Linked DNA regions of Stegostoma tigrinum. The protein of the gene in region 2 interacts with the protein of the main gene of each other region in a pairwise test. Links are inferred from orthologs where the notes say so. Each region holds a gene or a part of one and is shown on either strand. Other genes may lie near its edges. The genes, in order: cul3b, klhl2, txndc12 and tma16.

Evidence for each region.
Region 1: the proteins of klhl2 (region 2) and cul3b interact in binary tests that used the Homo sapiens proteins (3 or more experiments, as listed by UniProt). The two-hybrid records come from large-scale screens. The link is inferred for Stegostoma tigrinum from reciprocal best matches to the Homo sapiens genes KLHL2 and CUL3.
Region 3: the proteins of klhl2 (region 2) and txndc12 interact in binary tests that used the Homo sapiens proteins (3 or more experiments, as listed by UniProt). The two-hybrid records come from large-scale screens. The link is inferred for Stegostoma tigrinum from reciprocal best matches to the Homo sapiens genes KLHL2 and TXNDC12.
Region 4: the proteins of klhl2 (region 2) and tma16 interact in binary tests that used the Homo sapiens proteins (3 or more experiments, as listed by UniProt). The two-hybrid records come from large-scale screens. The link is inferred for Stegostoma tigrinum from reciprocal best matches to the Homo sapiens genes KLHL2 and TMA16.

The regions. Positions count from the first base shown.
Region 1 is NC_081367.1:24,434,298-24,441,975, forward strand, and holds the start of cul3b (cullin-3b), read right to left. Parts: upstream 3,005-7,678; 5' UTR 2,735-3,004; coding exon 2,672-2,734; intron 1-2,671. UniProt on the Homo sapiens protein: Core component of multiple cullin-RING-based BCR (BTB-CUL3-RBX1) E3 ubiquitin-protein ligase complexes which mediate the ubiquitination and subsequent proteasomal degradation of target proteins.
Region 2 is NC_081354.1:56,995,466-57,003,330, forward strand, and holds the start of klhl2 (kelch-like protein 2), read left to right. Parts: upstream 1-4,855; 5' UTR 4,856-5,019; coding exon 5,020-5,090; intron 5,091-7,865. UniProt on the Homo sapiens protein: Substrate-specific adapter of a BCR (BTB-CUL3-RBX1) E3 ubiquitin ligase complex that mediates the ubiquitination of target proteins, such as NPTXR, WNK1, WNK3 and WNK4, leading most often to their proteasomal degradation.
Region 3 is NC_081361.1:64,051,327-64,058,323, forward strand, and holds the start of txndc12 (thioredoxin domain-containing protein 12), read right to left. Parts: upstream 3,003-6,997; 5' UTR 2,947-3,002; coding exon 2,859-2,946; intron 190-2,858; coding exon 129-189; intron 1-128. UniProt on the Homo sapiens protein: Protein-disulfide reductase of the endoplasmic reticulum that promotes disulfide bond formation in client proteins through its thiol-disulfide oxidase activity.
Region 4 is NC_081354.1:44,928,152-44,935,655, reverse strand, and holds the start of tma16 (translation machinery-associated protein 16), read right to left. Parts: upstream 3,002-7,504; 5' UTR 2,901-3,001; coding exon of another isoform or gene 2,898-2,900; intron 1-2,897. UniProt on the Homo sapiens protein: Involved in the biogenesis of the 60S ribosomal subunit in the nucleus.

The DNA.
Region 1 (7,678 bases), on a different chromosome or scaffold from region 2:
ACAAGAATGAAATCTGATCGGAATGCATCAAGTTCTGTTCAGCAATGTTACATTCCCCTATTATGAGCCTTTTTACCCACCCGTATTGTGTCTATCATCCTGTTCAGTGTTGATAGAAAAAAATTGAAATGCTCTTCGTAATTTTAGGTAACTGCCAATCAGGTTAACCATGTTGTAAATAATTCAGTATTCATGCTACACCCCATTTAAATCAAAAACCTCTAGCACTAACTGAGTGGTCTTGGCAATGCTGCAAATACAATTGTCTGAATTTCACTTTAAAGCTATTTTTACAAATGGATCAACGTAGCCAAACAATGTATTTCAAAGTGTCTTTTTTCACACCATTAAAATGCATATTCTACATTAAAATGACAATCATGTGCAAACTGATTCTAAAACTGACCAACAACTGTTCCATTACGAAGATGTAAATTTTCTGCAGGGGGCCTTTATTTCTAGTTGGCATTAAATTCGATGAATGTGATTTTGCAAATGATACAGTACAATAGTAGTATAGTTAGAGAAGGCAGCTGAATCAGTAAAACAATAACTATATAATTAATTGTAGTAACTAACATTGTTTAGTCATTTCAATATAAACACCAATACAGCATGATCTCATTTACTTCTGAAACATTTATGATACTGAAACTGAATTTTTGTTTTTAAAAAGATATCCTGATAGTACAACAGATGGTAACTCAGAACTCAAAGTGGTAATGAGCAAGTAATGATCACCAATTCATAGAGGATCTCAAATCACTGCTGTAGGAAATGGGCAATGCAGGCAGCAGTAAATACCTACTGTTACCCCACAACACTGGGAGAAGCCATGAGTATGCTAACTAATGATCCTCAACTGACCAGAAAATGAACAATGTGGGTGCAGGTATTCTGTTTTTATATATGGAAGATATCATAAGCCAAACCAAAACTAAAAAAAAATATAGTTTTTGCACTTCAGCTTTTCATTTTACAATCCAATCTTTCAGTTGTGCTTTGATTAAACACAGCTGAATTAGTTTTTGGACATCTTGAACTACACTGCAAAGGGTTCCTATGGGAAGCACCTGCTGGTAGAAGTACAGAACTTAGTGAGTAGGCCCCTGTTCAATATCTCTAATGTCCATTTTCACAAACATATCAGCTAAACAGCAATCTTGGCTTTGCTCTACAGTTACTCCTGAGCACATGACAGAAGTAATAGAATTAAAGTAATTTACATTGGCAATACACCACATAATTCTATCCTTTTAATTTTTCAAATTACGGTCAGTGATCTTTACACCATTTAAAAAATAACTTTAGTTAGCTTAGGAGAATTTTTTGAAAGTACAAAATTGGTTAGTACCGTTTAATTCCACTCTGTTTAGTAATTAACAAAGTTGATGTCTTTCAGCAAATATACCATACAAAGAACATCCATAAAGTAACATACCAATTTCAGAATTATATACAGATCAGCAGTGTCAAAATGTTACAGAAGTTGCATAAAAAACAGTATGACGAACGCTTGGCACAAATTATTTTAATTGAACATGTTCCGCTAGTAAACTTGAAACTGTGAACAAACGTTATGCTGTAACCTTGTGCCTACGAAACTCTCAGTGTATGAACTTTAACAGTAACTTCTACATAGGAAGTGCTCCTTGTCCCGCTTATACAGAAGTTGTTTCACATGTTGAATGTGTTATTCTTCCAGGTAGAAGGCAATCACCGCACAATTTCAAATTCATTTGAGGGGAGGGGATAAAACACTTGCTATCTAGTTTGCCCTGCTTAAAAATTTATTAATACTGTTATCCTTTGCAAAATATTTTCAAGCAGTTAAGTGCTGTTTGAACAGTTTCAAACTTTCACCAGTAGTTGCAAAAATATATTTGAGCTTACTACATATGTATTTCATATGATATACAGCAAATCTGCTGGAAATGATTCGAGCATTTCTTTCAAGGTTTTCAACTCACTAAGGTCAATTCTGAAGGAGACATTCTTCTCACCTTTCAACTTATGCATATTGCAAAAGATAGAGAACCAAATATTCCACCAGGCGTTGGTGTACCAGTCCAGTCACAAAGCTCTTACCAATTAAGTTTTCAGAGCATAACCCAAGTTATTGTGACCACAAATCTAAGTATTCAGTAGTGAACCAGTCCATGTCACAGACCACCTAAAGAGTGTTTCAACTTGACTGAAAACACAGTAAATACTTAACATTCCACACTACCATTCCATCACTTTCAAAAGAAAGCTAAAAATATCCGAAGTTGTGAAACTATTTCAGAAAACGTAAGCCGCACCTTACAACTTATTACCTAGTGTTTCAATATGTCAGAACCAATAATATTCTACAGATTTTTTTGGGGAGGGGGCTGATGGCGAGAGAAAGATGGAGGAAGTGAATTAAAAAATGACAACATAACACAGCGCTTTGTGTTCCTGAATGGGGGAGGTCATCACAACAAACAGCCAAGGATTAAAACAGCCTCTCTGTTTGGCCTTCACGGAGCACCATGAATATTAATCAAACGATAAGGGGCCTGCTCCTGTGTTGACATCCGTAGAAGCCCGGGCCCTCGATTTGAAGCATTCGCAGCCTCTCTGTCCCCGTGCGGCGCATTTCCTTTCATTTGTTCTGTTAAATTGCGGCTACGGGGTCATTACTTACGGGAAACGCTCGTATCCTCATCTTGGTGTCTTTCTTCGTCCCAGCTTTGCCCAGGTTTGACATGTTGGCGGATGATTTCTTTCACATAGGACTCACTTACAGGGGAGGAGAGAAAAAGAAAAGGGGGAGTGGAAGTTCCGATAAAAGACCGAGCTACAATTAAACCTCTCGATTAGACGGGATCCACGGCCAGTGATTCGGGTTGATCTGACCCCCTTCAAGTGAGAGGCAGCAGGACCTTCGACCATGAAACAATTTTTAATATCAAAAAAAATCTGTTGGAAAATACCAGCCCGGCTCTATGGCGGCCGAAACCTTCAGTGCGCAGGTCAGTCGACAGTCCGATATCGCGAGAGCTCGGCCCTGTACTCGCAGGGAGAACACGAGACTGACGTCCGCAGCAGTGACGCGTCAGGCTCTGTCAATCAACCTAGGAACTGTCAATCAATCTGCAGCTGTCAATCAACCTGGGAACTGTCAATCAACCTGCAGCTGTGAATCGACCTGAGAACTGGTCAATCACTGCAGCTGTGAATCAATCCGAGAATTCTCAATCACTGCAGCTGTGAATGAACCTGTCACTGTATATCAACCTGGGGAACTGTCAATCACTCTGCAGCTGTTAGTCAACCTGTCACTGTCAAGCAACCTGGGAGCTATAAATTGCTATGGAGCTGTCAATCAACTTGTATCTGTCAATCAATCTGGGACCTGTCAATCATTCGGCAGCCATCAATCATCCCTGGAACTGTCAATCACTCGGCAGCTGTAAATCGCCCTTGGCCTATCAGTTACCCAGGATTTGTCAATCACCTGGAGTTTTCAATCAAACCCAGAGCTGTCAGTAATTCACAGAGTTGTCAACCACCCAAGGAACTGTCAATCAGTCCACATGCTTTCAATCACATTGTGAGCTGCCAACCATTCTGTGAGCTGCCAACTACCCAGGGAGCAGTCAATCACCAGAAGCTGGGAACATCACTCACTCTAGGAACTGTCAGTTACCCAGGGGCTGTCATTCACCCTGTGAGCCATGAATCATTCAGGAACTGTCAATCACTCTTGGACTTGTCATTTACCCAGGGAGCTGGCAATGTGATTAATGCAGTGATCAAAGACTCGAATAGTTTCACACTGCTGCAATCCTGTCAACCCACTAGGAACTGTGAAAAACCTAGCCAACCGTTAAACGCGAACTGTAAATTCGCCCCACAAGCTGCCAATCTTCCTAAGAGCTGTTAATCTCCCAGAAATTTGTCAATCGCCCACAATCCGGTGTGTTGTAGATCCTCTAGGGAGTTGTCAACCAACTAGGAGCTAATAATCATCCTGGGAACTGTCGATCATTGGCAAAGATCTCAGTTATCTAGGCTACAGTCGATCATAAGTTATGTCGTATTCACCTTTGAAACAGTGAATCACGTCAAGAGCTGTCAATATCCCTGAAAGCTGCCAGTAACCTGAGGAGTTGTTAATCATCCAGAAGGCTTTTAGTCAACAAGGGTGCTGTGAATTACCTCAAGAGCTATCAGTTATCTGGGACTCTATAATTAACCAGGAAGCTGGTAATCACTCCAAAAGCTGTCAACCACCCTGTGACCTGAAAGTCTTCATGGGAGCTGTTAGTTGCCCCATGAGCTGTCAATCACTTCAAAGTCCGTCAATCACTTGGGAGGATTAAATGACCTAGGAGCTGGCAATAGTTCAATGGGGGTAGTCAGTTGTGTTGAAAGTTGTCAATTACCCAGGGAGCTGAATTAACACAAGGAGTATCAATCATGTAGAGAGCAGCCAACAATCCAGAAACTGTTAATCACTGTAAAACCTGTCAATAGCCTGCTCACTGACGCTCATGAACAAAAACAAATTTCTGGAAAACTCAGCAGGTATGGCAGAATGAATATTTTGGGACCAGCCACACTTCTTCAGAACTTATTGTAGCTGGGAGGGAGTTGTTACATATGCTGATTATGGGGTGGAAGGAGGGGATCTGTCTGCAGAAATGACTCTGAGCTCTCACTAACTCTGACTTCTCTCCACAGATGCTGCCAGATCTGCTGAGATTTTCCAGCAATTTCTGTTTTTGTTTCTGATTTCTAGCATCTGCCGTTCTTTTGGTTTTTTGGTTTAGTGAGCTTTCGGTTGTCTGCCACTTCCACACACCACTATGTTTTGTCGCTAACATCTCTGTCTCGGGTTTGCTGCAGAGCTCCACAGAAGCTCAACACAAGCTGTAAGAACAGCACCTTATTTTCCACTTTGGAACCCTACAGCCTATGGACTCGATACCGAATTCAACAATTTTGGGGCTTGAGCACCTTCCCCTTGACCTTATTTCCAACCCCACACACCAGACCTTGTTATTACATGGGCTGCTGCCAAAAACAAACCATTGTCAGCCACTAAGAGTCCCCATTAGCAGCTGCTAATTCTCCTAGGTTGACCTGTACCCATGTTTTTGTCTGCACAACTGTTTTTCTCTCTCTCTGGTCTCCACCTCTGCCTATCCCTTACTCCAACCCCCTTCCCCCACCCCCTCTCCATAGATCCTGTACAGTCAGTTCTGAAGAAGGGTCATTGGATCTGAAATGTTAAAATTCTACATTTGCTCCACATACATTGCCAGTCCTGCTGAGTTTTTCCAGCAATTACTTGTTTTTGTTTCTGATTTCCAGCATCCACAGTTCTTTGTTTTTTTTTCACTGATCATCAGTTTGGGCTCTGCTAGGACCACTCAGTTCCTTACCTTATTATAGCATTAGTTCAAATGTGGACAAAACAGCTAAATTCTAGAGATGACGCGAGAGTGATTACCCTTGATGTCAAGTCTGCAATTTTACCAAGTTTCACATCAAGGAGCTCCATCAAATCTGTAGTCAGTAGAAATCACAATTGTGAGGGGAATCTCTTTGCGGGTTCAAGTAATATCTGTACCAAAGGACAATGTTTGGGATGTTGGAGGTCAGTCAACTCAGTTCCAGGATATCTCTGCAGGTATTCTTCAGGGGAATGTCCTAGGCTGAATCAATTTCAGCTGCTTCATCAATGACCTTCTCTCTGTCATAAGGTCAAAGTGGAATGTTTACTGATAGTTGAACAATCTTCGGGCACTATTTGCAACTCCTCGAATACTGAAGCAATTGACATCTAAATGCAGCAAATCCTGGACAATATCTAGGTTTGGACTAAAATGTGGCAAGTAACTGCCAGGCAATGACCATTTCCAATAAGAGAGGATCTTACCATTGCTTCATGAAATTCAATAGCATTACTGTCATTTATCTCTCCATTCTAAAAATCTTGGGGATTAACATTGACCAGAAAATGAACTGGACACTCCACACAAATAATGTGACTACACAAGCAGGTAAGCAGCTAGGAATCCTGCAACAATAACTCAACTCTTGATTCCCCAAAGCCTGCCTGCCATCTACAATCCACAATTCCTGGGTGTGCTGGAATACTCTCCGCTTGCATGCATGAGTGCAGCTCCAACAACACTCAAGAAGCTTAACACTATCCAGAACAAAGTGGCTTGCTTGATTGGCACCACATTCACAAACATTAACCCTGTCTACCACTGATGCACAGTAGCAGCAAGCAGTATGAACTGTTTACAAGATGCACCACAGAAATTTACCAAGGCTCCCTTGAGAGCAGCTTCAAACCCATGCCAACTTCCATACAGAAGGACAAGGCGACAAGTGCACAGGAACACCAGCTCCTGCAAGCTTCCCTCCAAAAGCATTCACAATTCTAACTTGGGAACATATAATTGTACGTTCAGTGTCACCAAGTGGAAGCCCTGGAACTTTCTCCCTTAGGGTATTGTGGTTTGACCCCACCAAATAAGTTGCAGAAGTTTAAGGAGGCAGCTCACCACCCTTCTCAAGGGCAAATAGAGATGGGCAATAAATGATAGCCCAGTGGACATCACCGACATCCCATGAATGAATAAAAACATCACTCACACATTCCATTTTGGGTGTAATCAATCCTGAGCATCATTCCCCTGGGGAAATGCCAATATCACATCAAGTGCTGTAAAAATCCTTGAGTGCAGCCAATCATCCAACAGTGTCCTGTTTCTGTAGCATAGTGGGTATCACATTCACTTTACATGCAAATGAATCCCGGTTTGAAACCAGGAAAGAGCATTTGTGTAGAAAACTGAATGCTGATTTACCCTCTCTTTCAATCACCCAGAGGACTGTCAATCAACTGATAAGCTGTAAATTAGCTCACGAGATGTCAATTACCTTGAAATGGATCATTAAAAAGGAAACTGTTAGTTACCCCGACAACTGTCAACGACAACTAAAGCTGTCAGTTATCCTGAGTGTTGCCAACTGCTGAGGAGTTGTCATAACTATGGTGAGCTGTTAATTTTCCTGTGAGCTGTCAGTCACCTGGGAAATTGTCAATCAGCTAGGATGCTGTTAATGACCCAGCAGCTGTCAATTATCTGGGGAGTTGTCAAACTAATCATGCAGAGATCTGTCAATCACTAGTGCTATCACTACTCAGGAAGCTGTCAATCAAACCAAAAGTTGCCGAACATGCCGACAGCAGTCAGTAACCCAGAAGCTGTCCATCACAAGGAGGGCTGTCGATCTCCATGAGACCTGGCAACCATTCATACAGCTGTCAATCAGACAGTGTGCAGACAATCATGTCAATAATTCAGGGAGCTGGCAGTCTCATTGAGAGCATCAATCTTCCTAAGAGTTGCCAATCACCCAAGAAGTTGTCAGTCATGCATGGAGCTGTTATTAATGGGAAATTTTGATCAGTCAGAGAGATTTTAAACATTTCTAGAGCAGTCAACCACCCAGAAGCTGTCAACCATCTGGGGTACCAGCCACTGTCAATCACCCAGTGAGACACAACTGTCAATCAGCCGAGATGCTGCTGCTGCTGTTGTTATCATCCCTCAAATTGTTGAATTTGGGAGTTGCTGCCATGGTTTTTCATGTGATGGAACAGATTATCTTTCAATCCACTGAT
Region 2 (7,865 bases):
TTAATGTGCGCAGCGTCAAGTCTACTGCAAGATGTGTGTCCACGTTGGCCTACCTGACCACTGTCAAGGCGGACCTACTGTTTCTGCAGGAGTGCGGGATACCGCACCTCAGCAGGTACGGGAAATGGTCCGGCGCCTGGACCTGTGGGCCTTCAATCTGGTCGGCGGGTAACGACTGTCGCTCCTCGGGCCTGGCTATTCTGCTGCGGGGGCGCAACTTCACCATCTCTCAAGTTCAGGAGGTGGTGGGGGGGGCGCCTCCTAGTGGCTGATGTAACCTACAGGAACGTTCCCCTCAGGCTGATCAACGTGTACGCCCCAGCGGTATGGAGTGAGCGGTTGGCCGTCCTGCAGCGGCTGCCACCCCTGCTGGCTACGTCCAGGACGGTCATCCTAGGCGGAGACTTCAACCGCATCATTGATGAAGATGGAAGATCCGGCGTGGGGACAGCGGGTGGGGGGAGTCAACTGGACGTCATGTCCAGATTCCTGATGGGCATGGTGAAGGACGCCAAGCTGCTCAACGTCTTCAGCACCCCTGCAGATGGAGCGCAGCGGAGATGCACCTGGTCACGGCCAGACGGCTCTATCCGCTCAAGGATAGACTTCCTGTTTGTGTCGCGGGCGTTCTCGGTCAGGTCCACCGGCGTCGAGCTGGTGTTCTTCTCCGACCACTGCCTCCTGCTGGCCGACTGTCACTTACAGGACGACCAGCAGGCCGGCAAGAGGACGTGGAAGCTCAACACGACTCTGTTGACCCCAGAGAACGGCGAGGAGCTTAAGAGGGAGCACGCCGGTTGGAGAACCGTGAAACCCCTCTTTGAGCCTCCGGGCGACTGGTGGGAGACGGTGAAGGAGAACATCAAGAGGTTCTTTGTCCTCAAGGGTGTTTGGAAGGTGAGAAAGGCGGGGAAAGCTGTCGCGACTCCAGAAAAGGGTGCAGAACCTGCTCCTTCTGCAGTTGATGAGGGTCGATGTCACGGAGGACCTCCGCAAGGTGAGGGGCCAGCAAGCCTCGCTTTTTGCTGCGGAGGCCTCCAGGATAATCTTCCGGTCCAGGGTCCGCTCCGTGGAGCAGGACAAGATGTGCTCGCGTTTCTTCTTTCAGAAGGTGCACAAAGAGAGCTCTGTGCTTAGCCGGCTGAAGGAGGACGACGGCTCGGTGACGTCGTCTCGGCCCGACATTTTGAGGATCAGCAGATCCTTCTATGCCGGGCTGTACGACACGAAGCCCACGGACAGCACGGCCTCTGAATCGTTCCTGTTGTCTGTCACGGAGGTCTTAGATGACGGCACGAGGGAGTGGCTGGACCGGCTGATATCCCTGGACGAGCTGACCAGAGCCCTCAAGTCCTTGGAGAGGAATAAGACTCCCGGGAGCGACGGCTTACCGGTCGAGCTGTATTCCGCTCTGTGGGACCTGGTCTGCCAGGACCTGTTGGAGGTGTATGATAGTGCGCTTCGGGCAGGGGAAATGTGCAAGTCCATGAGGAAGGACATCATCACCCACATTTACAAGAGGAAGGGGGACAGGGAAGAAATTAAGAATTGGTGTCCCATTTCACTATTGAACGTGGACTACAAAATCTTGGCCAAGGTCATAGCCAACCGGGCCAGGTCTGTCCTGGAGCCGGTGATTCACCCTGACCAAACCTGTGCTGTGCCGGGCAGGAAAATCGCTGAGAGCCTTGCGCTCATCAGGGATACAATCGCCTACGTGCAGGACAGGTGGGTGTACACCTGCCTTGTCAGCCTGGACCAGGAGAAGGCCTTCGACAGGGTCTCTCATGCTTACGTGAGGGACGTCCTCTCCAAATTGGGGTTCGGGGCGGACATCCGCAATTGGATCCGGCTGCTCTACACCAACATCGTTAGCGCAGTCTCGATCAACGGGTGGGAATTGGACAGTTCTACTGTCAGATCTGGAGTCAGGCAGGGCTGCCCGCTGTCTCCGGCCTTGTTTGTGTGCTGTGTGGAGCCCTTTGCCGCATCCATCAGGAAGGCCGTGAGCCTGAAGGGCGTGACTATCCCAGGCAGCGGAGGCCTTCAGGTCAAGACCTCCCTGTACATGGACGATGTCGCCGTCTTCTGCACTGATCGTTGGTCGGCGAGTAGGCTGTTGGACATCTACGGCCAGTTTGAACTGGCCTCGGGTGCCAAAGTCAATAGGGGTAAGAGCGAGGTCATGTTCTTTGGGAACTGGGACGACCGCTCCTTCATCCCCTTCACCGTCAGGACAGACTACCTGAAGGTGCTGGTGTTTGGTTCGGTGGAGCTGGGGCGTGCACTAAGACTTGGGAGGAGTGTATCACCAAACTGAAGCAGAAGCTGGGCAGGTGGACGATCCGGTCCCTCTCCATTGCGGGTAAGAACCTGGTTGTCAGGTGCGAGGAGCTTTCGGTATTGTTGTATGTGGCGCAGGCCTGGCCTATTCCCTGGACCTGCGCCGCTGCGGTCACCCGGGCCATCTTCCACTTCATTTGGGGGTCAAGGATAGACCGGGTCCGCAGCGACACCATGTACAAAGACCTGGAAAATGGAGGAAAGGGCGTACCGAACGCCACCCTCGCCCTGATGCCTACCTTTGTGTGCGCCTGCATCAAGCTGTGCATAGATCCTCAGTACGCAAACACCAAGTGTCACTACTTACTGAGGTTCTACCTGCCCCTGGTGTTGCGAAGGATGGGCCTGGCCTCGTTGCCGCGCAACGCTCCGAGTAGTTGGACTGTCCCGTACCAGCTGTCCTTCATGGAGAAATTTTTGAAGGGAAACACTTTTGACCACAAGGCCGTCAAGCAGTGGTCAGCACATAGTATCCTCGAGACCCTTCGGGAAAAGGAGAGGGTGGATCCCATCATGTGGTTCCCCACGCAGACTGCCAAAGTCGTTTGGCAGAATGCCTCATCGCCAGAACTTTCAAACAAGTACAAGGACATTGCTTGGCTGGCGGTGAGAGGGGCTCTGCCAGTGAGATCCTTTATGCATGCCCGGAATCTCTGCACCACCGCACGCTGCCCTCGAGGTGGGGGGGACGAGACTCTCGATCACCTCCTTGTAGAGTGTGCCTATGCACAGGAGGTCTGGAGGGGGATGCAGTGGTATTTGTCGAGGTTCGTCCTGAGCAGCTCCGTGACGCGGGACTCCGTGCTCTACGGGCTGTTTCCTGGGACGCACAACGAGACCAACATCAACTGTGCCTGGAGGACCATCAATGCGGTGAAAGTCGCTCTTTGGTCTGCCTGCAACTTGCTGGTCTGCCAGCTGAAAGAACTGACCCCGACCGAGTGTTGCAGACGGGCGCACTCCAAGGTCCAGGACTACGTGCTGAGGGACGCGGTAAAGCTTGGGGCAGCTGCTGCCAAGGCACGGTGGGGAAAGACCACCGTCTGAAACCCCTTGTCCAGAATAGGAAAAAGGGCCCTATCTGGTAACTGGGCCCAGCTGGCACCTTCTCCAACTGGTCACGGGGCCAACGGGGACTGTGCGGGGAGACGACTGCCGGAGTATTTTCTTCGCTTTGTTTTTTTTTCTTGTTTGCTTGTTTTTTTTCCCCTTTAGTTGGTGTACGTAGCCCCTGGGTAACCTGGAGCGGCTTGCATGACTGGGCAGGTGTATAAATGTTTTTTTTTGTACATTCTATGAATAAAGTATATTTTTTCAAATAAAAAAAAGTGATGAAACGTCTGAAAACTAACCTTCCAGCTCAGCGAGCAAACTCACATCCACAATAAAGCTGCAGATTCTGAAGCTGTCAGCTGAATTTCTCATTGCTTTTTACCTGCCTCAATGTCATTTTCCCAGAAAAAATAATGCATTCTTTCCACATACTGGTCTCAGTCTTTGACAGCAGGATCGACAAGTCAAACTTTCCACATAATGCCATGATGCCAGAAATGCATATCCCAAATCAAAGATGAATGTTGTGAACAAATTTCTTCAGGTGCACTTCTTTTTCTCTTGTTGCCACTGAAATAACTTCACAGAGGCCAGTGTCCCGTCACCAAGTCACTCTTCATTCACACGTGGAGAGTACTTGACACTCAGAACTAGACCTCAGAATGAACAGGACGTCTGACACTCCTGGTTATATTTTTCAGCCAGGGCTCCCTGATTGGACCAGATTAACAGCCCCAATCAGGGAACTCATATTCTATGAGAACTATCTTAATGACCTCCTTATATTCACTAAAAAGATCACAATGCCTCAGACAAGGTTGGGACGCAGCACCTTCATGGTAACTTTAGCCCTTATCTGTGAAACCCCAATGGCCCTAGAAGCCTCTAAGATATTGATACTTCTTCAGTATACTTCTTCTAATAGCACTATAGAAATGCAAGTTATTGTTGTCAACAGAATCAATAAAATAGTTGCTACGGAAACAGTGTCGGCGTACAGCAACAACCCAGTGACGAAAAAAGTGCTTTGGGCGAAACCTTATGCTGCACAAATTGAATACAATGCCGAGCGGTTTTGGTTTCACTTTAGATGTGCAATTGCTGTATGCATTTTTAAAAAGAAAATCTGGCAGAATCACGTAATTTCAGTACAGAAATCCTGCAGTTTGTTCTAAAGTACATGGTTTTAAATATGAAGCGCAGTTCAGCATTCACTGCCAAAGGTAACCTGGAGGCAGGCTCTGGATACAATGCCATACAGTCCTCTACAATTCCCATATTAGGGCTGCTTCTTCCAGGTCCTCCAACCCAGAGGGAGCTCCTGGTACGGCAATACCTGGAGAATATCACTTTTGACAGTCGAAGCGGAATAAAAAAAGTTGGAATTGGGAGGCAACTGGAAGCTTTCGGGGAGTGGGGGAGGGTGGAAGGAGGAGGTGAGGAGAGGAGCATTGTGGGGTATTGGAGGAGGAGATGGTTTGCAGGCGCCGCCTCCCTGGTTTCCCCTAAGGGTCAGGCTGAGACAGTCGGAGCAGCGGCTGCCTCAGTGACCGCCCGGGCAACAGCACAGACAATGGAACGCGCGCGGAGCACGGGGAAGCATCCCACGCGCCTCTGAGTGGAATGGTGCAGCGCGCCGAGCTCACTCAGCGCAGTCGGCAACAGGCGGAGGACACAATGGAGATACAGCAAATGTGAGTCTGTTAGCTCCAATCACAGCCAGGGGCAGGGCAGGGCTGGGGGAAACTCCGGCCAGGAGGGACAACCCGGCTTAGGGCGGGGGCGGGGGCGGGGGTGGGGAGAGGGAGGGTCTGGGTCATGCTTGGAGCCTCCCCGCTCACATTTGTGGAGAAGCGACTTTACAAATGCCAGGAGAACTGAAGTGGGGTCGAGGGAAGCACAAGCTGGAGTTTTTGATAGCAAATAGCAATGCGGTTGTTTCAGCATTTTAGCAATGCCGCAATTTAACTCTATGCAAAAGGGTAGAAATAAGTGAAAATTGGGAAGTGTCAAAGAGTTATAAGTCTGTTGGTGTTATAATTTAGTTTTTTTTTTGGGGGGGGCGTTGGTCAGAGATTTGAGCACCTGCCCATGATGTCCGGTAGCTGTTTCTGTAGTGAATATTCTGATGCATATATAGTTGCACTTTTTTTTTGGTTGAAAGATGTATTAAATGTAGGAAATTGTGTTGAGCTATGTTTTATTTCAGGGGGGACGAGCTGTAAAATTGTTTCACGAGTACAATAAAGAACGAACACTCAAGAAAATGTATATTTTTGGAGAAGATCAGTGCACCTCTTACAGTAGCAACTGTGTAAATGACAGTTATGTATTGTGGCATTGATACTAAAATTTCACTGTTTAGTGTGTTAAATTTTAATGCTTCTGCATTCAGAGCATCCATTCTCAATTTCAGTATGGCACAATGGTGGGCATATGCTTTAGTTGTACTATTGATTTTGAATTGTAAAGGGAAAGTAACACTGGAACAATATAACACCTGAACTAGTGGAAACAATTGAGGTGACGAATTAAGGGACAAGAAGCATATCTGTCTAATTCTGAAGCATGCGATCTTCCCTAATTCCTACTGTCAATGCTAGATTTGACATTGCAGTTTTTAATATTATCTTTGTAAACATATCTGTGTTACGTGTATTTTTTTAAATGCTGCCTATATTTTCCTTTCTTGGGTATGTGTTAAAGATAAATTTATAGATTATTTGTTTTATAGCCTGATTTTCTTTTCTTCCTGTCAACTGAACCAGATAATGGTACCATGACTGATTCTGTGGGTGAATGAACGATATTGTGTTGTATATCATTAATGCCTGCAGTGTGACTTCTAGATCTAGTTAACTAATCTTACAATTTGGGTATAATTCTACAGGTCATTTTTTAGTGATTTTTGGTTAGACAGAAGCAAAACTGCATAGGCTCGTTTTTCTTTCATTTCTGTGCATTGATCCTGGTTGTAGATGTATGTATATGCTGAGTGATGATTACTCCACTTGCATATTGCCACCATCCCTTGTTCCAATTGTTGGAACTCGAATGGATTGGGCCTCCGTAACCTGCCTCAAAGGTGTAAATTGGAGGCCTGTAACAAATACAAGTCTGAACATATTAATTTTGTGAGGGCAATTGCATGAAATATTCTGACAGAGGTATGTTGCGTTGAAGTCTGAAACAATTCTGCAAACACAGGAACTAAAACAGAAATTGCTGGAAAAGCTCGGCAGGTCTGGCAGCGCCTGTGAATTTCGGGTCCAGTGACCCTTCCTCCAGAACAATTCTGCGAAGCTTGTTTGGAAGAATGTATTTTATTTCAGTTTTTCTGGAGCAGTGAAATCAACCAGACATCCCCTGAACAAATAAAAGAAATGGATCCTGATCTGTAATTACCCTGGAAAGGCAGTGGTGTTAGCAGCCCTCGGTGTAGGGCCACCCAAGGTGCTTTTGGAAAGGAAGTGCCCTCCTCCCCTTCTCCTTCCCCCCCCCCCCCCATTAATCAAATTTTTGGGTTTAAGAATAAAAAGTGAGTACTAGGTTTTCGATCCAGCAACTGGACTGGATGATATAGTTTTGAATCGGGATGGGCGGGGGTGGTGGATCTAGCAGGGTGGTTGTGGTCCTATTTATCTGCTGCCCTTGCCCTTCTACCTGGGTTGAATTTATGTTTGGAAGGTGCTCTTAAAGGGGTCTGGGTGTTGTGCTGCTCTGCATTGATGGAACATGCTGCAGCCACTCTGCAATAATAGTAAAGAGGGTGACGGACTTCCAGAGGGTTGTGAATCTGTGAAATTCCCTGTCCAGTGAGGCAGTTGAGGCTACGTTGTTGCATGTTTTAAGGCAGGTGGAGCAGACTCAAGGGGCCAGATGACCTGTTTCTTGTGAAAGTTGAAAGTGGTGGATGGGCTGGATTGTGCCAAGGTTTTTGAGTTTTATGGATCTTCACCCATCCAGACAAATGGGGAGTATCGCGCCACACTCATGGCTGGTAGATGGTGGACGGTTTTTGAGAAAACGTGAGTGAGTTAGTTACCACAGAATTGAGTCACAGAATCTGTGCCCAGTTCAGTTTCTGGTCAACATTTGTGCCAGTAGTGGGGGATTCAGTGATGGTAATACCATAGAATGTCAAGTGGAGGTGGTCATTGATTAGAAAGATAGTGTGAAAGTTGCTGCAGCTTGTATGTTGTCTAGGCCTTGCTGCACATGGATAGAGATTACTTCAGGATTCGAGTTTTGTGAATGGCATCTATTGCGCTAAGTACAACTTAACGGAGATGATGGCCTACTGGTATTATCACCGGCCTGATAATTCAGAACCCAGGTAATATTCTGGGGACCTGAGTTCAGATCCTGCCACGGCAAACCATGAATTTGAATTCACTAAAAGATCTAGAATTAAGAGTCTAATTGTTGGAAAACCCCATTTGGTTCACTAATTCCTTTTTAGGGAAGGA
Region 3 (6,997 bases), on a different chromosome or scaffold from region 2:
TACTGACAAATTTGGCTCTTTGATATTCCAGGAGGAAGCCAGTCAATTGCCAACTAAATATACAAAGTTTAAAATCACAAATTCCAAGTCAGAAGTTGAACAGGAAGTTTCTACTTAGCTTTGCATACCTGGCTTCTGCTTCTTTTTTTCCATCATCCAGTGTTCTCCAGTGAATGTGGTCTCCAAATCCTGAAAAAAGGTTGCCATTCCTATGAATTTCCATCTCTGACAAATTGTTAGAGACAAACGTCGACACCTAAAACCTCATACAATGTTATTTTAATATCTCAATTCAATGGAATTGGATCATTTAAATTTGTTTGGTATTCATTATACACACTACCGTGCGCGTAACGATTGTTTTCTTCATTGGCAATTCTTTAGAGTGTGGGACACTAGAAGACAAAAATGGAAATTAAGTAAACTATTTGCTGCTGGACCTGTTACCTATCAAGGTCTTCACCATTTCCGGTCAACGACTGGGTCCAAATGACAAAAATAGAGGAGTTATAGAACAGAGATAATAAAGTGTGGAGCTGGAAGAACACAGCAGCCCAAGCAGCATCTCAGGAGCACAAAACCTGACGTTTCGGGCCTTGTCCCTTCAACAGAGAGGGGGATGGGGAGAGGGAACTGGAATAAATAGGGAGAGGGGGGGAGGCGGACCGAAGATGGAGAAAAGAAGATAGGTGGACAGGAGAGTATAGGTGGGGAGGTAGGGAGGGGATAGGTCAGTCCAGGGAAGACGGACAGGTCAAGGAGGCGGGATGACGTTAGTAGGTAGGAGATGGAGGTGCGGCTTGAGGTGGGAGGAAGGGATGGGTGAGAGGAAGAACAGGTTAGGGAGTCAGAGACAGGCTGGGCTGGTTTTGGGATGCAGTGGGTGGAGGGGATGAGCTGGGCTGGTTGTGTGATGCAGTGGGGGGAGGGGACAAACTGGGCTGGCTTTGGGATGCAGTGGGGGAAGGGGAGATTTTGCAGCTGGTAAAGTCCACATTGATACCATTGGGCTGCAGGGTTCCCAAGTGGAATATGAGTTGCTGTTCCTGCAACCTTCGGGTGGCATCATTGTGGCACTGCAGGAGGCCCATGATGGACATGTCAGCTAAAGAATGGGAGGGGGAGTTAAAAGGGGGAGGGATCGCAACTGGGACGTGCAGTTGTTTATTATGAACCGAGCGGAGGTGTTCTGCAAAGCGGTCCCCAAGCCTCTGTTTGGTTTCCCCAATGTAGAGGCAGCCACACCGGGTACAATGGATACAGTATACCACATTGGCAGATGTGTAGGTGAACCTCTGCTTAATGTGGAAAGTCATCTTAGGGCCTGGGATGGGGGTGAGGGAGGAGTTGTGGGGGCAAGAATACACCTCCTCCCACCCACCCTGCTGCAAAAATTCCATCCCCTATTCCCAATTCCTCCGCCTCTGCCACATCTGCTCCCAGAATGAGGCATTCAAGGACCACAACTTTCCCCCACACAGTGGTTGAGAATGCCCTTGAGCGCGTCTCCCGCATTTCCCGCAACACATCCCTCACACCCCGCCCCCGCCACAACCACCCAAAGAGGATCCCCCTCGTTCTCGCACACCATCCCACCAACCTCCGGATACAACGCATCGTCCTCCAACACTTCCGCCATCTACAATCCGACCCCACCACCCAAGACATTTTTCCATCCCCATCCTTGTCTGCCTTTCGGAGAGACCACTCTCTCCGTCACTCCCTTGTTCGCTCCACACTGCCCTCCAACCCCAACACACCTGGCACCTTCCCCTGCAACCGCAGGAAGTGCTACACTTGCCCACACACCTCCTCCCTCACCCCCATCCCAGGCCCCAACATGACTTTCCACATTAAGCAGAGGTTCACCTGCACATCTGCCAATGTGGTACACTGTATCCACTGTACCCGGTGTGGCTTCCTCTACATTGGGGAAACCAAGCAGAGGCTTGGGGACTGCTTTGCAGAATACCTCCGCTGGGTTCGCAATAAACAACTGCACCTCCCAGTCGCAAACCATTTTAACTCCCCCTCCTATTCTTTAGATGACATGTCCATCATGGGCCTCCTGCAGTGCCGCAATGCTGCCACCCGAAGGTTGCAGGAACAGCAACTCACATTCTGCTTGGGAACCCTGCAGCCCAACGGTATCAATGTGGACTTCACCAGCTTCAAAATCTCCCCTTCCCCCACCGCATCCCGAAGCCAGCCCAGTTTGTCCCCTACCCCCACTGCATCACACAACCAGACCAGCTCATGCCCTGCCTCCACTACATCCCAAAACCAGTCCAACCTGTCTCTGCCTCCCTAACCTGTTCTTCCTCTCACCCATCCCTTCCTCCCACCTCAAGCCGCGCCTCCCTAACCTGTTCTTCCTCTCACCCATCCCTTCCTCCCACCTCAAGCCGCACGTCCATTTCTTACCTACTAACCTCATCCCACCTCCTTAACCTGTCCGTCTTCCCCTGGACTGACCTATCCCCCTCCCTACCTCCCCCCACCTATACTCTCCTCTCCATCTTCGGTCCGCCTCCCACTCTCTCCCTATTTATTCCAGTTCCCTCTCCCCATCCCCCTCTCTGATGAAGGGTCTAGGCCCGAAACGTCAGCTTTTGTGCTCCTGAGATGCTGCTTGGCCTGCTGTGTTCATCCAGCCTCACATTTTATTATCTTGGATTCTCCAGCATCTGCAGTTCCCATTATTTCTGAGTTCTAGATCAGAATGACTAATCAAATGCGAGAAAGATTGACAGAGGTAACGGATTAGCCATAGACACACGATTTTTTGCGTTTCCACGGTTTTCAATTAAACCACATCAAAGCCATCGTTTAAATAAAACAAATATAAACTAACCCACCTCTTCCAAGACTTTCGCTCCCATATGTTTGAAAGCAGATCAGAAGAATGTTAAGGAGGACGAGATACAGGTACCTTTGCAGCTTCATTATCGGCTCTGACCCTCTCGCCAGTAACTCAAGGAAAGTAGAAGCTCAGAGGAAGTGACGCATTAGCAGTTCTTACTATTTCTGACGCATCAGAACGCCGTGTAACCCATTCTGTTCGGAATCGTGCCGCGGAGTCTTTTGCGGATATGCAAGCCTTCAGTTCAACGCATCGTCCAAATGGTAACATCTCAAGATATACATGTACTGTACAAGAATTAGTTAATAAATTCTATCGGAAGGTGCTTCGCTCGTGAGATATTTACTTGATATGCACAAATCTCCGCATGGTAATATTTAGCAACATATTAAAATAAGCAACTTGTTTTTACACGGTCACTTTAACGTAAAATATCCAAAGTACAGCCACCAATGGTGGAACAATTAAGATCAAGATGATCCAGAGACCTGGTCGCGCTGTATGGGATTCAGCAAGTCAGAAGATTGTGCGTGCAAGGCCCACTCCAGGTCTAAACAAAAGCGTGAGACTGGATGGGCTACCCAGCAACTACTTAGGCATGGACATGACAACATAAAAACCAGCGTTGTCAATCCTGCAAAATCCTCTTTACTGAGGTCCAGGGGTATGTGCCAAAACTGGGAATGCTGTCCCACAGCAGTGAAGCAGCATCTTCACCTGAAGTACTCTCAGAATCATACCTTATAGACAATATTCCAGATGCCACTGTCAACGTGCCTGGATATATCCTGTCCTACTGACAGAACAGACTCACCAGAAGTGAAAACAATGGAAAGAGTTGCCCTCTGGCAGTCCTCAAGATTGACTCTGTACCCCATGAAGTCTCTTGACATCAGACCAAACATGAGCAAGGAAACAGCCTTCTGATTACCACCAACTAACCCCACACCTTCTTCAGCACTCCTCTGCTAATGAATGAGTACTCCTTTATGCTGAAAACTAATTGCCACTTGAAAGGAAGCATTGAGAGTGACAATGGCACAGAATATATTCTCAGTCAATTGCTAAAGGTGATTTGGTGGCAGCACCATTACTCAAGCTGGCTGAGTCCTGAAGAATATTACAGACAGACTGGGTCTGCGGTACGTGGTGGAGGAACTAACAGGAGGAAATAAACTACCTAACCTCATCTTCACCAATATAGATTTTTCCCCATCCTATCTGACATTAAAAACTGTAATGTGAAACCTGATCTTCACCAACTTGCCTGTTGCAGGTGTCCATAATGACAATAATGGTGGGAGTGACCACAGTCATGCTAGAAACAAAAGTGGCTACGTTCACATTATGGATATATTACACTGTATTGTGTAAAACTCATATTATGCTCAATAGGACAGATTTCTAGTGACTCAGAACTAAACACATTAGAACTATGCTGTGGGCCATCAACAGCCACAATTTGTAATCTCATAACTAGGAAAATCCCTCACTCACTGTTACCATTAAACCAGGAGATTAATTCTGCTACAAAGAAGAGGGCAGGCAGACTCACCAGGACCAGCACCTGGCTAATTTAAAAACGAAGTCTCAAAGTGTGAAGCTATAACACAAAACACCCCACCCACACCTTCTCCACCTATCTTCTTTACTCTCCATCTTTGGTCCGCCTCCCCCTCTCTCCCTATTTATTCCAGTTCCCTCCCCCCATCCCCCTCTCTGATGAAGGGTCTAGGCCCGAAACGTCAGCTTTTGTGCTCCTGAGATGCTGCTTGGCCTGCTGTGTTCATCCAGCCTCACATTTTATTATCTTGGAATCTCCAGCATCTGCAGTTCCCATTATCTCTGATACTATTTTAACCTCACTGCGAAGCCTCTTCCAGGGATGCCTAACCTGAAGAAGTTACCCTCCTCCCTCCGGACCAACCTCAGGGAATCTCTCTCCCATTGACCTGTCCGTCTTCCCTGGACTGACCTATCCCCTCCCTACCTCCCCACCCACACCTTCTCCACCTATCTTCTTTACTCTCCATCTTCGGTCCGCCTCCCCCTCTCTCCCTATTTATTCCAGTTCCCTCCCCCCATCCCCCTCTCTGATGAAGGGTCTAGGCCCGAAACGTCAGCTTTTGTGCTCCTGAGATGCTGCTTGGCCTGCTGTGTTCATCCAGCCTCACATTTTATTATCATTAAACTACAAATAGCAGTAGTAGCAAGAATTTACAGTTAAGAGGGCCACAAATTAGATCAGATCTGACACCAGAATCCGAGGACAGGCCAAACAGTCAAGCATGGGAATTCCTCGAGGCCTGGTTCTCTACCAAGAAGATCATCAACAAACACATAGAACTCGACCCTATATTCACGGACCACTGCAAAGGAAAACCAGAAATGAGGTATTCAAATCCAACGGACGCCAGAGTTTAAATACCAGGTGGGAAAACACAACAGCACTTCATTGGAGGCTGCACTGATGATGTTACCCAGCAGGGTAATGAAATGTGTGCGAACTAACGAAACAGCTCAGTCGGCAAACCAACCACAGCATCCACAACCCAAGCAACAAATCTACTCAAGAACCTTAGAGTACTGTATGAAATTAAAAAGGCAGAATTAAAGGCATTGTGTCTGAATACATGCAGATTCACATCAAAGTTGACAATTTGAAAGCACAAATAGAAGTAAATGAGAATGATTTAATTGCCATTAAGGTATTGTGACTGTCGGGTTATAAAATATGGGAAAGGAATCAGATCACCCTGAAGCTCATTGAATGGCAGATCAAGCTCAAGGGGGCAGGTGGCCTACTCCTATTTCATACGTTGGACGAACACAGCAGGCCAAGCAGCATCTCAGGAGCACAAAAGCTGACGTTTCGGGCCTAGACCCTTCATCAGAGAGGGGGATGGGGGGAGGGAACTGGAATAAATAGGGAGAGAGGGGGAGGCGGACCGAAGATGGAGAGTAAAGAAGATAGGTGGAGAGGGTGTAGGTGGGGAGGTAGGGAGGGGATAGGTCAGTCCAGGGAAGACGGACAGGTCAAGGAGGTGGGATGAGATTAGTAGCTGGGGGTGCGGCTTGGGGTGGGAGGAAGGGATGGGTGAGAGGAAGAACGGGTTAGGGAGGCAGAGACAGGTTGGACTGGTTTTGGGATGCAGTGGGTGGGGGGGAAGAGCTGGGCTGGTTGTGTGGTGCAGTGGGGGGAGGGGATGAACTGGGCTGGTTTAGGGATGCAGTAGGGGAAGGGGAGATTTTGAAACTGGTGAAGTCCACATTGATACCATATGGCTGCAGGGTTCCCAGGCGGAATATGAGTTGCTGTTCCTGCAACCTTCGGGTGGCATCATTGTGGCAGTGCAGGAGGCCCATGATGGACATGTCATCAAGAGAATGGGAGGGGGAGTGGAAATGGTTTGCGACTGGGAGGTGCAGTTGTTTGTTGCGAACTGAGCGGAGGTGTTCTGCAAAGCGGTCCCCAAGCCTCCGCTTGGTTTCCCCAATGTAGAGGAAGCCGCACCGGGTACAGTGGATGCAGTATACCACATTGGCAGATGTGCAGGTGAACCTCTGCTTAATGTGGAATGTCATCTTGAGGCCTGGGATGGGGGTGAGGGAGGAGGTGTGGGGACAAGTGTAGCATTTCCTGCGGTTGCAGGGGAAGGTGCCGGGTGTGGTGGGGTTGGAGGGCAGTGTGGAGCGAACAAGGGAGTCACGGAGAGAGTGGTCTCTCCGGAAAGCAGACAGGGGAGGGGATGGAAAAATGTCTTGGGTGGTGGGGTCGGATTGTAAATGGCGGAAGTGTCGGAGGATAATGCGTTGTATCCGGAGGTTGGTAGGGTGGTGTGTGAGAACGAGGGGGATCCTCTTGGGGCGGTTGTGGCGGGGGCGGGGTGTGAGGGATGTGTCGCGGGAAATGGGGGAGACGCGGTCAAGGGCGTTCTCGATCACCGTGGGGGGAAAGTTGCGGTCCTTAAAGAACTTGGACATCTGGGATGTGCGGGAGTGGAATGTCTTATTGTGGGAGCAGATGCGGCGGAGGCGGAGGAATTGGGAATAGGGGATGTAATTTTTGCAGGAGGGTGGGTGGGAGGAGGTAGCTGTGGGAGTCGGTGGGCTTGAAATGGACATCAGTTACAA
Region 4 (7,504 bases), about 12 Mb from region 2:
ACAAGGGTGCTTCTGAAATGACAAACTTCTTCCTCAACCAAGGATTCCTAAGCACTTTTGTTGACAGGGCCCTCAGCCAGGTCCAACGTATCTCTCACATTTTGGCCCATACCCCCCTCTTCCCTCCTGCAGCAGCATTAAGGTCCCCCTTGTCCTCTCCTACCATCCCACCAGCATTCACATCCATTAGCCACCATTTCCATCAGCTCCAGCAAGGTGCCACCACCAGGCCCATATTCCCCTTCACGCAATCTCGTCTACTTCATTCAATGCTCACAATGTGATATCATCTACATTGTGGAAATGAATCTTTGATGGGTGACCACTTGGCAAAACATCTACATGCTGCAGGCAATTCAGACCTTAAGCTTCCAATTGTCTGCCATTCCAATACACCACCCAACTCCTTGCTGCAACCCCACACATCCGACCTTGTTAACACATAGTCGGCGATTACACACAATCCACTGTGAACCACGAACAGTCTCCATTCACCTTCTAGCCAGATCATTATCCATTCCTTTGTCTGTCCAACTTTGGCCTCGATCCTCACTCATTGTTTATTCTTTATCCCCTTCCCCAAACCCTATCCTCTGCATACAAACTGATATTTTCCTAGCTACCACCAGTTCTGAGGAAGGGTTACTTGAATTGAAATGTTATCTCTGATTTCTCTCCACAAGATGTTACCAGACTTGCTGAGCTTTTCCAGCAATTTCTGGTTTTGATCCTGTGTGCAGTTCTGGTTGGCAGACTATAAGGAGGATGTGATTACCCTTAAGATTCACCAGGATGTTGCTTGGACTAAACTGAATCAGCTATGAAGAGACTAGATAGGGTGGGGTTGTTTTTCTTGGAGCAGATGAGGCTGGGATGTGGGATCTGATTGAGAAGTACAGAATTGAGGGTAGATGAGCAGAAACATTGCACAGGGTTAATGACCAAAGCCACAGTTTTAAGATAAAGAGCCGAGGAATCACAGAGGTTTTTAAGAAAGATTTTTTTTTCCATACACAAGGCAGTGTAAATCTGAAACTCACTGCCTGAAATGAGTGCCAGAGGTAGGAACCTTCAGAGTGTTTCAGTTATTAAGCTGAACACTAGAATCACTGAGGCATTACAAGCTTACAAGCCAAATACTAGAAAATCGGAATAGAACAGAGATTGATATATTTGGGTCCTCTTTTAGTTGTTATTTATATGAATTATTTGGATGAGAAGGCATGGTTAGTAAGTTTGCGGATGACACCAACATTGCTGTCAAAAACAGAAGTTGCTGGAAAAGCTCGGCAGGTCAACTGGAATCGGTGAGGAGGAATCAGAGTTAACGGTTCAGGTCTGGTGACCCTTGCTCAGAACAGAAGAGGAGCTCGGAGGGTCACCAGACCCAAAACGTTACCTCTGATTTCTCTTCACAAATGCTGCCAGACTTGCTGAGCATTTCCAGCAACTTCTGTTTTTGTTTTTGATTTACAGCATCTGCAATAACAAAGTGTAGAAGCTGGATGAACACAGCAGGCCAAGCAGCATCAGAGAAGCAAGAAAGCCAGCGTTTCGGGCCTAGACCCTTCTTCAGAAAAATTTTTCAGCCTGAAACGCCAGCTTTCTTGCTTCTCTGATGCTGCTTGGCCTGCTGTGTTCATCCAGCTCTACACCTTGTTATCTCAGATTCTCCAACATCTGCAGTTCCTACTACCTCTCTACACTATCTCCAGTCCTTTTGGTTTTTATCAATCCACATGGTGGCATTGTGCAGTGAAGGATGTTTGCTATGATTACAAAGGGGCCTTGATCAAAATGGGGCAATAGGCTGCAAAATAGCAGATGAATTTCAATCTGGGTAAATGCGAGGTACTGCATTTTGGTACAACAAACAAGGGTTAGGTTTATGCAATTAATGGTAGGGCCTTGGGGTTGAGTTGTAGAACAGAGTAACCCAAGGGTTCAGGTAAATAATTATTTGAAGTTTGCATCACATATAGACAGGATGGTTAAAAAGGCATTTAACACACTTGCCCTCATTGCTCAGTCCTTAGAGTATAGGAGTTGGGAAGTCATACAGGTCATTCATTGGTGATGCCTTTTCTGGAGTACTGTGTCCAGTTCAGGTTGCCCAGTTATAGGAAGGATATTATTAAGGTGGAGTGGGTTTAGAAGAGATTTACCAGGATGTTGCTGGGTATAGAAGGTATGAGTTGTAAAGAAAGGCTGGATAAACTGAGACATTTCCCACTGGAGTGTATGAAGTTGAGAGGTGACCTTCTAGGTAGTGTAGATAGGGCTAATAGCAAGTTTGTTTTCCCCTAACGTCAGGATTTAAAGCGTGAAGGCACATTTTCAAGGAGAAAGGAGAGATTTTAATAAAAGGCCTGAGGGGCTTTTTTTTACAAAGGGTAGTTCACGTGTGGAATGAACTTCCTAAGTGGTGGATGTGGGTACAATAACAACGTTTAAAAAACATTTGGATACGTACATGAATAGGAAATCTTTGGAGGGATATGGGCCTGGAGAACGCATTTGGAACTAGTTTAGATTAGGATTACATAAAGCATAATGGACCGAAGGGTCTGTTTCCGTGCTGTTTGATTTGAGAACAATCTTCACGGACAAGATGGGTCGAAAGACGTCTTTCTGCTGTTTAAAAGCTCGAGACTATACTCAAAGTCATGAGGAGTCAGCGCATAGTAGAAAGAAAAACTATTTATAGTGGTGGAAGGATCACGATCCAAAACAGTAAAAATATGGGGAAAATCTTTTCCACGGAGCGCACAGTCAGGATTGGCACGTACTGGTGGAGGAAGGTCAACTGAAATGTTGAAAGTTAATTCAACTCAGCACGAAATTTGAGGCGCCTCAAAGGAACACAGATAGCCGACCAGCCGTACAAACGCACTCACCATTTTGAAGCCGTTCACGCTACATCCACCGGAAAGAACTCAGTGCACTCCCTTCTCGTCGTCCCCCTACCCGTTCAATATCAACAGCAGATTAGAGGGTTCCGGAATGGCACCGGCGCATGCGCAGTATTGAGAGAGTAAAGAAACTTGAAGTACCGGTAAGCGGGCCTGGGCATATTATGGTGGGGAATGAAGAAAAGGGTAGCTAAAGACAGGGAGGATGAGGTGAGGTGGCAGACCGGGAAAAAATGGGTTAACACTGGAGCTGGAGGAGCACGGCAGGCCTGACAGCACGAAAGCAGACGTTTTCTGAAGAAGATAATAAAATGTGAGGCTGGATGAACACAGCAGGCCAAGCAGCATCTCAGGAGTTGTGCTCCTGAGATGCTGCTTGGCCTGCTGTGTTCATCCAGCCTCACATTTTATTATCTTGGAATTCTCCAGCATCTGCAGTTCCCATTATCTCTGATACTGTTTTCTGAAGAAGGGTCTCGACCCGAAACGTCAGCTTTCCTGCTCCTCTGCTGCCTGGCATGCTGTGTTCGTCCAGCTCCACACTGTTATATCTGACTCCAGCATCGGCAGTTCTTACTATCTCATGGGAAGTGGGGAGATAGGATGAAGAGAGTGAAAGGAAGTGGGGAGGGGGAAGGGACAGGGCGATGTAAGGAAGGATTGGAGGGGAGAGGGAGGAATGAGAGGATGAATGTAAGGAAGAGAGTGGTGAAAGGAAGGAGGGGACAGCAGAAAGTGGAGAGGAAGAGAAAAAGATGGCAAGACAAAGCAGTGGGATGAAGGCTAAGGAGAGTAAGAGAAAGGAAAGGGGTTATGAAAGAACGTAGAAGGGAGAACAAAGAATGAAGAAAATTTCAGCACAGGAGCATGCATTTCGGCCCTCCAAGCCTGCACCAATCCAGATCCACTACCTAAACCTGTTGCCTATTTTTCCAAGGATCTGTATCCATCTGCACCCTGCCCCATTTATGTATCTGTCTAGATACATTTTAAATTACGCTATCGTGCCCGCCTCTACCACCTCCACTGCACCCTCTCCAAAGCATCCACATCCTATTGGTAATGTGGCGACCAGAACTGCACATAGTATTTCCAAATGTGGTCGAGCCAAAGTCCTGTACAACTGTAATATGACCTGCCAACTTTTGTACTCAATACCCCGTCCGATGAATGAAAGCATGCCGTATGCCTTCTTGACCACTCGATTGATCTGCATTGCCACCTTCAGAGTACAATGGACCCGAACACCCAGATATCTTCGTGCATCAATTTTCCCCAAGGTTTTTCCATTTACCGTTTAGTTTGGTCTTGATTTGGATCTTCCAAAATGCATCACCTCGCATTTACCTGGATTGAACTCAATCTGGCATTTCTCTGCCCAACTCTCCAAGCTATCTATATTCCGCTGCATTCTCCGACATCCTCTTCACTATCTGCTAGTCCACCAATCTTAGTGTCACCTGGAGCTAAGGAATGGGGATGGAAAGATGAGGAAGGAAGGAGTGGGGGTGAGGAAGGATTTGGCACAAAAGAAGGAAGGAGCATGGGAAGGGTGAGAAGGCGAGAGGATGGAGAATCAAGGTGCACTGTGACAATGAGGAATGGGATGAGGAGATACTGCAAGAGGAAGAGAAATGGCGAGGAGGAGAGTAAAGAAAGGTAAGGAAATGGGGGAAGGAGGAGGAGGAGGGATGGGGCAGGGTGAGGAAAAGGAAGGAAAAAGAATGTAGGGAGGAAATATTAGAGAGGGCAAGGATAAGAAAAGGCTGGTAAGGAATAATGAGGGGAGGGAATAAAGGAATAGTTTAAGGGGAGGAAAGAGGGTAAGGGAGGAAGAGGTGGAGAAATGACAAGGGCATGTAGGTAGGAGGAACGATCATAATCATTATCATAGACTCCCTACGGTGTGGAAATAGGGCCTTTGGCCCAACAAGTCCACACCGACCCTTGGAACATCCCACCAAGACCCATCCACCATAACCCACCTAATCTGCACATCCACCATAACCCACCTAATCTGCACATCCCTGAACACTAAAGGCAATTTAGCATGGCCAGACCACCTAGCCTGCAAATCTTACATTGTGGGAGGAAATCAGAGCACTTGGAGGAAATCCATGCATACACGGGGAGAATGTGCAAAATCCGCACAAACAGTTGCCCAATGGTGAAATCGAACCCGGGTCCCTGTCGCTGTGAGGCTGCAATGCTAACTACTGATCCACTGTGCAAAGAGGGAATGTGCTAGATTGGACAGGTAAGGGGAGTTAGGTAGAGGATGATAGCTGAAGGGGAGGAGAGAGTTTAACGTGGATCGGGAAATGGGAAGGCCTACAAGGGTGGTTGAGGAAGAGATAAGGACTGGAAGATCAGTGGGTGAAAAGACGAGGGTGAGGAGAGGTATAAAAAGAAGGAAGAGCAGAGGGATATTAGGGGAATGGAAAAGAGGCAAAAGAGATGAGGGGTGGATGTAGGACAGGTGGAAAGGGGTAAAGGAGAGAGAGAAAGTGGAGATAGCAGAGAATTTGCGGGGACTGCTCTGTGGACATGGGAAAGGAGAAAGCTGTTCTGCCCTGGGGTGAAGGAGGATCTGTACTCTTCAAAACAATTGCTTATCTTTCATTTAAACTCTTTTATGTCTGGTTCCTATTTATTGGGGAAAGAAATGGTCAAAGAATCCCAACAGGACCCAAGCAACAATATAGTATAGAAGGATAGTGTGAGACAGAAAGGTGATTATGAGGCATTTAAAGTTATTACCCTCAACAATGAGAAAAGACAAATGGCAGTAGGAGAGCTGGCTTTGTAAAAGTAGGATATGGAATTTCTGTCTATTTCAGAATGTATGTGAGTGGGAGCGAGGGAGGTTGTGAGGTTAGAGCGCAAACAATTAGAAAGTGTGACTGGAAAAGGTACAAATGGACATATTGTTGACAGTGGGATCAAGAAGAAACATTGGACTGGATTTTTATCTGCTGATGTGGGAAAACTAAAGACATAGAAAGCATCTAATTTGAAATACCAGAGATATTGGGAACTGCGGATGCTGGAGAATCTGAGATAACACAGTGTGGAGCTGGATGAACACAGCAGGCCAAGCAGCATCTTAGGAGCACAAAAGCTGACGTTTCAGGCCTAGACCCTTCATCAGAAAAGGGGGATGGGGAGAGGATTCTGAAATAAATAGGGAGAGAGGGGGAGGCGGACCGAAGATGGTTAAAGGAGCAGATAGGTGGAGAGGAGAGTATGGCGGGTTGGGGTGGGTAGGTAAGGAGGGGGTAGGTCAGTCCGGTGAAGAGGGACAGGTCAAGGGGGCGGGATGAGTTAGTAGATAAGAAGTGGAGGGGCAGCTTGAGGTGAGAGGAGGGGACAGGTGAGAGGAAGAACAGGTCAGGCAGGCGGGGACGAGCTGGTCTGGTTTTGGGATGCAGTGGGCGGAGGGGAGATTTTGAAGGTGGTGAAATCTACATTGATACCATTGGGCTGCAGGGTTCGCAAGCGGAATATGAGTCGCTGTTCATACAACCTACGGGTGGCATCATTATGGCACCGCATGAGGCCCACGATGGAAATGTCGTCTAAGGAATGGGAGGGGGAGTGAAATGGTTTGCGACTGGGAGGTGCAGTTGTTTATTGCGAACCAAGCGTAGGTGTTCTGCAAAACGGTCCTCAAGCCTCCGTTTTGTTTCCCCAATGATACCACACCGGGTACTGTGAATGCAGTATACCACATTGCCGGATGTGCAGGTGAACATCTGCTTGATGTGGAAAGTCATCTTGAGGCCTGGGATAGGTATGAGGGAGGAGGTGTGGGGGCAGGTGTAGCACGTCCTGCAGTTGCAGGGAAAAGTGCCGGGTGTGATGGAGTTAGAGGGGAGTGTGAAGCGGACAAGGGAGTCGCGGACAGAGTGGTCTCTCCGGAAGGCAGAAAAGGGTTGGGTTGGAAAAATGTCTTTAGTGGTGGGGTCGAATTGTAGATGGCGGAAGTGTCAGAGGATGACGCGTTGTATCCAGAGGCTGGTGAGGTGGTATGTGAGGACTAGGGGGATTCTCTTTTGGCGGTTATTGTGGGGGCGGGATGTGAGGGATGAGGTGCGAGAAATGTGGGAGACACGGTGGAGAGCGTTCTCGACCACTGTGGGGGGGATGTTGCGATCCTTGAAGAATGAGGACATTTGGGATGTACGGGAGTGGAATGCCTCATCCTGGGAGCAGATGCAGTGGAGGCGAAGGAATTGGGAATAGGGGATGGAATTTTTGCAGGAAGGTGGGTGGGAGGAGGTGTATTCCAGGTAGCTGTGGGAGTCGATGGGCTTGAAATGGACATCAGTTTGTAGGTGGTAGTCTGAGATGGAGACGGAAAGGTCCAGGAAGGGGAGCGATGGGTTGGAGATGGTCCAGGTGAACTTGAGGTTGGGGTGGAAGGTGTTGGTGAAGTGGACGAACTGTTCGAGCTCCTCTTGGGAGCATGAGGCAGCGCCGATACAATCATCAAAGTAACGGAGGAAGAGGTGGGGTTTAGGGCCAGCGTAGGTGTGAAAGAGGGACTGTTCCACATAACCTACAAAGATGCAGGCATAGCTTGGGCCCAT